Zea mays: one gene and its partner. The main gene of each other region encodes a partner of the protein of the gene in region 2 in a complex. Links are inferred from orthologs where the notes say so. Each region holds a gene or a part of one and is shown on either strand. Other genes may lie near its edges.

Region 1 (3,750 bases), on a different chromosome or scaffold from region 2:
TCTTTCCAGTTCTGTGAGATCAATCTCGGTGCCACTGATGAGCTTCTCCACTGCCTTCATCTGCCACGTTACGATTTTCACATTAGAATTTCCTTCATAGCTGCCACGTTACGATATAACTAAATATCTTGTACAAATAATGTCCCTAGGATTTCTCACCCTAGGAAAATGCAAGGATCCCTAGGGGATTTTGGTTTCCAAACTAGGCCTTAGGACTGATTTGGTGACCAGTGAATTGCCGAATTGAAGACGATCCATGGGGAAGGAATCCCCTTCCTATTCAAAATTGAATAAGAAAGTAATTCCTCCCCCGTGGATCCCCCAAATTTCCTGGCCACCAAACCAGCCCTTAGGAGGAGAAATCAGCCTGTTCGAATAAAGGTTGATCAAACACCCATGTGAGACTCTGTCTTGTTTTCTCTTATCTGGTATGCTGGGCAGGTTTTTACACAAGAATGGCTTCATGGAGAAAACGTGCTGGAGGGAGTCAGAATTCTGCTAAGAGTGGCCTTCCAGACCAAGATGGTTCAAGTGCGCAACCTCAGCTGCTACAGATAACTGGTGCTGAGGCAGGAGTTGAACAAGAGACGACTGGAGAAACCAATGGCACCAGTGAGTAGTTGAAGCTTCTTTAGTTCTTCTGGGTTTCAAGTCTGCCGCCGGGTGTCTGCTGAACTTGTTAGGCAGTCTTGATGCATGTTCAAAACTGTGTCTAATAGGACTAGCTCTAGTTTCCTGACGCAGGTTTAGCTAGACCTCAATGGCTACCCGCCGTTCTAACCTAGTTCTGTTTTTTAGCCTGCTTCTGCAATGCCTGAACTGTTTCCGTTTATGAAATGAAAAATGGGGAACATGGTTCAAGGAAAAAAAAGGAGTGCATGTGTTATGAAGACCTCGGTTATGAATTGTAAGCAAAAAAGATTTTTAAACTGTTCCCTTTTTGTTTAGGACCTGTTTGAAGCACCCAGTTTTTAAGAAACTGGTTTATGAAAACTGAGGTGGTTCCAAACATACCAGTTTATAGAAACTAGATTCCCAGTTTCTTAAAAACCAAGAAGCTAGCCTCCTCTAGCTAAAACCAGTTTATGAAAACTGAGGTGGTTCCAAACACCATTAACTAGTTTTTTTTTATAAACCAGTTTCTAGAAACTGGATTCTTAAAAACTAGGTTGCTTCCAAACAGGGCCTTAGTTATTTACATTTTCAAGAATAGAGGGAGAACCATGGTTTTAAAGGCGACAAGGAGTGACTAGGCCCCAAGGGCCAAGGCAAGTTGTCGCCTGGATGCCTCAGCGGCATCTTTGAAACAGAGGGGAGAAATCATTTGAACTATTATCGATCTAAAAAGTGTAAGTGTTTGCAACTATGGTAACAGATGGCAATGAATAAAACAAAGCTTCAGAAACATAGAAGCTCAAAGTTAGTTGAAAATTTTCAACTCAATACCATAAGCACTCAACTGAAGGCTCAGTAAATAGAGTGTAAAGTAGTAGCACCGGGTTTCTGGAGCAAGAAATTACGAATGGTAGAAACACTTCCTGTTTTATTTTTCGTAGTAAGGAATTAAGTAGAAGCACATGAGGGGTAATTTGTAACTCATTTTTAAGCAGGGTGATTAACATATTGCAAATCCATTTAAATCTGATTTGGTGTAGACTGTAGAGCATGATCTCTGGATCCATTAACACTTCAACTATCGTCCAATATCAGCCAGCTCAAGGTCACAAATTTATGAACCAAACACACGGTCAATTATCAGAATAGCATGCAATTGATGGATCCAAACAGTAACTCAGTGAAACTATCATCATAAATCATACCTCCTCGTCGGAAGCATCAAAACAAGCAGCAAGGATGTAAGTTGTATTATCAGAGATCCCACAGCGCTTCAGGGACTCTGTTATCTGAAACCAATTATCACAGACAAACTGTCAAACACTGTACTGGACCAACTCGTAATGCAAAAGCACCAACGGCAGCTAGATCAATCACATGTTTGGACCCCGAGTAGTTGTAGACGAGCTCAGAGTGCAGAGTCCTTGTGGTCAGTGACTCCCTAGTCTTGGACAACAGCGCCTTAAGCGCTGCCGCGAGGATAGGGAACACATCCGGCACCTGAAATCCACGAGCATGGACAACGAGCCACAAACACTATGATGCACACACTCAGGAAACTACCAGCGCAGCATATGCAAACATGCAAATGGCAACGAACCAGTGACGCGTTGAGGAGAGCGACCGCCGGCTCCAGCTTCCCTGACTGCATCAAGTCCAGGAGCTCCCTGAACATCAAAACCAGGAATCTCAGCGAGTCCATCCCCTGCGCATTTCATCGATGGAAAGCAGACGAGGTCCAATTGGCGGCCACAGCGGCCCATGCGGCGATGTTAGAAGAGGAAAGGATGCATAAGCAGGTCCGTACCGGCTGTTGGAGACGTCGGAGAAGAGGGCTAGGGAGATGGTGCTTCCCCTGGACAGCGGGAAGGTCTTCATGACGCTCGCGGCGATGCGGCGGCGAGTCGGCAACGGGGGGAGCAACCCTATTCCTCTCGCCGTGTGCGGCAGCGGCTCACGACCAATTTCAAAAATGCCCCTGCCAAAGGAGAAAACTACATAAGTGGTCCAGGCTTTACGATTGATGCAGCGTGAAATCGTCACCGCAGAAAAGAATTTCTGTTTCCCTTCAATGAGATGGAGAATCCGAGAATGGGATAAGACCGCGCCGCGCGCGCTCTCCTCTCCGCCACTCTCACCGTCGCCTGCCCCGCCATGACTTCCTTGCTGTTGCCGCCGCCGCAGGCGGCTGCCGCAGCGTACGGATGCTGCCACTGTCTCCTGCTCGCTTCTACCACCGTGCCGGCGAGGAGTGGGTGCGTGGGACGCGCCAGCAGAATCACGCTCGCGCTCCGCTGCCTCCCGATTACCGGGCACAGGTCCGCTGCTTTTCTTGGTTTTGCGTGTGCCAAGGGAACATTCATCTGAGCAAGCTAATCTAATTAGTTTGTTTTCACTCCTTTTATGAAGGCTGAGGAGTCGAAAGGTTGCGTGCCAAGCGACGACTGAGACCGAGCCCGAGGGCAATGGCGACGAGGAGGTACATACTAGCTTTCCCCTCCTTCAGCTTCTTGAAATCGGCAGCCTCGTATGAGCAATGTATCGCATTACATTTTGAAGTGCCAAGTATCACATTTCCGCGCAACCAAATCATTTGCATGGTTGATAAGTCAAGGCTCGGATTTGCTCATTTGCAACTCACACATGACCCATTGAGTTTTTCTCTAAGAGTATAGAAACGCACCTCTTAATAAAATCTAGAATCAAACACGAAGCCAGAATCTTGCAGTAATTCGGGGATTAAATGATTGATCTTTCTTTCCAGGATAAGAAAGAGTTTGGAGATGATGCTTCATCACCTTCAGTTTATAATGTTGCAGAAGCAAATGGGCCGGGAGAAAATGACTCGAGTTTAGACAATGTACACTTCTTGCTTACAGCTTGTCAAATCGAGCCTGCATTATATTAATATATTATATATTATGGAAAATATGCTTCCTTTTGTGCTGGTCTTGATTTGCCCTGTGCTTAAAGCAGCGTACTTCCATTCTGCCCGTTAGTCCTTGCTGTATGAATTTGTAACTGAATTATATATTTAGCTTTCCCATGACTCGCCAGAAGAAAGATGAAACCACGAATGCAGAAGCAGCACTGCTGAGCTCCGGCGACACGGTCCAGGACATGGATGCAGATGCT
Region 2 (3,750 bases):
TGAGGTAATAGCCACATCAACGAGGGCCTTTGCATTACGGTGCACTCGGATAGGGAGACCAGCCCATGGCCTTGACGCGTCAGTCTTTTGTAACCAAAGCCACCTGGCACGTAGGGCCCATCCAAACATCTCCAGGTTGAGAATACCCAGACCACCATACTTGAGAGGCCGCTGGACAGCTTCCCAAGACACGAGACAGTTACCTCCATTTGCATCACCTTGCCCCTTCCAAAGAAAGCCTCGTCTCCTCTTATCGATTGCCTTAAAAACCCATTTAGGTAGTTCTAAAGCAAGCATAAGATAGATAGGGACAGAAGACAACACTGTCTTAACCATGACAAGACGACCAGCCCGGCTGAGAAGATTAGCTTTCCATCCTGGAAGTTTATCAGCAACTTTATCAACAAACGGCAGGAGATCAGAGTTAGCAAGCCTACGGATTGATAGAGGAATCCCCAAGTAAGTGCAGGGAAAATTTTTTGTAGCACATGGTAACAAGGCAGAAATGGTGGTCAGCTCATTCGCTCCACATTGAATGGGTGTAACAGAACTTTTGGAGATGTTCGTTTTTAACCCAGTAGCATGACCAAAGATGTCTAAAATGCTGATAATTGCTGAGATATCCTGATGAGAGGGCCGCATGAACAAAACAACATCGTCAGCATAGAAGGAGATACAATGTTTGGCATGTTGATTTGCAATCGGCTGCAGCATATGTTCCCTGAAAGCATAACTGACCATAGCATTCAAAGCCTCCATGACAAGGATAAACAGCATGGGGGACAAAGGATCGCCTTGCCGAAGACCCCTATGATGCAGAATGTATTCCCTAGGCTCGCCATTGACAAGGATCCGTGTAGAGGAAGTGCAAAGCAACAGACTAATAAGGTTGCACCAGCTTCGACCAAAACCCAAGTGTTGTAACATGTCAAGCAGGAATGGCTCTCTTTCCATCTATAATAGCTTCGTGTTTACAGGCCAAGCAGTGCATTTTGCTTCCAGGTTCAAACTGCAGAAGCAAAGCACCGGGACTAGTAAGTCCTTTCTTTAATATTGATGAATAATCTCATAAGGTATAACATCATCTCTTTCTTTAATATTGAATAATCATTATACAGTTTGTCAATTCCAATTAATAGTGGAACTTCTTTGTATATACGGTTATTGCATATCTCTACTATCTATTAAGTCAATAGTGTAGACCACATGCACAACCATGCCCCCACTCATGTCCTCCTTGTGCCCCCCCCCCCCTAGCTCCCTCGGAAACCCGCTGCCCCCTAGCCCACGATTGATCCCCTCCCTCCACGCCACCACCTCGCGTGGCCCAGTACCTCGCCCCCGTCCTTGATACCGCCACCCCGTGACCCATCTGAGATCGGCTCTTCCATCGGTCTCGGCCTCGACGCCACCCCTAAACTATGATGCCCTTCCACAGCCAGCCGCAATGCCCATCCACGAGGTCGCCGCAGCCGCCCCTCACCGCTCGCAGTCAACCCCCACCCATATGCGGCAGAGCCTGGCGTCACGGAGGCCAGCGAGGGCCCTAGGGCAGGGCCAGCCATCCGCTCTCCGCAAGCATGACCTTTCGGCCAGATCTGCACGGTTGGGCCGACGACCGGTTCTTCCCCCTCGTTCCTCCGCCCAGCGGGTGGTGGGTGCCTCAAAAATTCTAGCTGGTCGCGAGGATCTATTTGGTGAGTTGGGAGCCATAGCTTCGATTTGGGGGTTTTCCTTTGGTCTCAGAGTGCAATTCTGTATAAAAGGAGAGGAAGTTTAGGGCATGTTAAAGGGAAAAACTAAGGAAATCATGTTTATTGATAGGTCACCTGAAAAAAGGACATGAACCTAGAATCTGTTATAATTTTTTGATGTGTCTGGATAGAATTGGGAAGCTTCACGGACCGCTGAGTTAGAGTGGGAACCTATGTTGCCCTGATACGGGGATACAGATACGGATACGCGATACGCCGATACCCCGATACGCCATTTCTCAAAAAATACGGATACGGCGATACGCAATATATATTATAAATAAAATTAAATGTTGAAATGTCTGAAATGGATCAATGCCATAGTAATCTTAATAAGTTAATCATGGATTTACTAGTACCAAGAACATTTAATGCTGCTAGCATCGGTAGATGCACACGTTGCCATGGGATATTGGGATCTAACAAGAACAGAGAATGGGACAACCGGACAAGTACAGCGTCAGGCAGGGCAGATGGGAGATGTCGGCAGATCACAAACCTCAGTACCTCACGACGGCAGACGGGCTGGCTGACGGCGCGACCTCAGAGCTGGCGGCGGCGGACGCGGCCACGGATCGGCGACGGCTGGCGGCGCGCAGGGAAGCGCGGCTGAGCGGGTCTCCAAGCGGTGACGGGCTGGCGGCGCGCAGGTTTCCAAGGATCTCCAATCGGTGACGGGCTGACGGCTGGCGGCGCGCAGGAGCCAGGAGAAGCCGGACTGGCGGCGCGCAGGAGATGGTGCGCGTGCGCCGTGGGGAGAAGCAGTGCGCAGGGGAAATCAGGGTATCACGCACGTGTCCAATTGTATCCGTCTTTTTTTATTTATTTAAATTCATAGCCTCGGATACGTATCCGGAAGTATCGGAGGAGTATCCGTATCTGATACGGCATCCGACATCATACGTAAATTTTGAGAAGTATTCGTGCATCATAGGTGGAAACTATATCGAAAACTTCTGATATTTTTCGATTGATAGTCTCTCCACTGTGTTGGAAAGCCTTTTGAAGCATTTGGTTACTGGCATTATAGGAGATCATATACATGAACATCCCAACCTGCTCTTCGACGTTAACTCCTCATGTGTCACGTAACAAACCCTCTCTTCTAAGGAAATCTGATGTGGCTCTAAATATTTCTGGCTTCATTCGAAACTCGACTTGCACCAACTCTCATGCCCTTCGAGAATCTCCTTAACCTTCTAGGCACCAGAGAGAGGAGGTATGGATAGACCTTTTCTTTTTAGAGAGGAATGGAAGTACAGCAGGGAGAAGAATAAAGAAAAACTCTGCATTGTCTTCTTCTTCCTCCAACAAAAACTGTATAGCTAGCTCTTCCCAATAACCCATATCTAGAGAAATCGAGAAACTACATAAGCAACACATAATCATAGCAAAAGGCATGACAAGCATTTCTGTTCGAGACAATACCGAATGTTCTCGCAAAGATTTTGAACAAGGCTATGCAGGTAAACATCATACACTTGTAAAATTTAACCAGCTGAATCAATATGCCACAGCAAAATGGTTTATACCTATATAAATTAGAACAAACTAAAGTTACAATTATCATTTGAAAGAAATATAAAATTATCAAAATCAAAAGTACTAGCATCAGCACAAACAATGAGACAATAGATAAGGAAACATTGAACAACCATGGCAAGTACTAACGAGACAAACAATTGATCACTAATTAATCACCCTCATCCCTCTTCGGCAACTATTTGATAGATCTATATGCCCAGAGACATCTATTCCGCAATTCTATATGCTCAGAGACACCAACAGCAACAAAGATACCCCATGCCACTTTCCCCACTGGTTTACAGTTAACTAACTAGCTATTACCAACACTGAATCCATAGTTGCAAGAGAAAGTATAGAGCACAGAGCAGATCGTACAGAGCACAGAGCAGATCGTACAGAGCATGAGTTCAGCAAACCTTGTACTGGATCTTTTGGTTCTGTAGCACGAGCGCGACACCGGCATTCAACA

Evidence for each region.
Region 1: the proteins of uncharacterized LOC100280033 (region 2) and uncharacterized protein LOC100280192 are in contact, whole or in part, in a cryo-EM structure (PDB 8K20), measured with the Arabidopsis thaliana proteins. The link is inferred for Zea mays from reciprocal best matches to the Arabidopsis thaliana genes AT5G26110 and AT4G34412. Residues at the interface, in NP_001331017.1 of Arabidopsis thaliana: Thr27, Phe28, Ala29, Arg31, Asn58, Ala61, Arg62, Thr65, Arg68, Lys69, Leu70, Gly71, Val72, Cys73, Val76, Leu77, Tyr78, Ala79, Val80, Asp81, Thr82, Leu83, Leu84, Gln151; in NP_680763.2 of Arabidopsis thaliana: Asp7, Phe51, Leu54, Ala55, Gln58, Ile62, Arg66, Lys147, Thr149, Gln151, Glu152, Ile155, Ser156, Asp160, Val163, Cys164, Ala167, Ala168, Asp170, Ala171, Leu172.

What each region holds. Positions count from the first base shown.
Region 1 is NC_050098.1:19,279,917-19,283,666, forward strand, and holds the start of uncharacterized protein LOC100280192, read right to left. Parts: upstream 2,590-3,750; 5' UTR 2,494-2,589; coding exon 2,423-2,493; intron 2,283-2,422; coding exon 2,216-2,282; intron 2,116-2,215; coding exon 1,993-2,115; intron 1,905-1,992; coding exon 1,821-1,904; intron 61-1,820; coding exon 1-60. Other genes in the region: Probable zinc metalloprotease EGY2, chloroplastic, read left to right, coding at 2,770-2,933, 3,025-3,094, 3,380-3,475, 3,673-3,750.
Region 2 is NC_050100.1:34,851,036-34,854,785, reverse strand, and holds the start of uncharacterized LOC100280033, read right to left. Parts: upstream 2,480-3,750; 5' UTR 2,254-2,479; intron 1-2,253.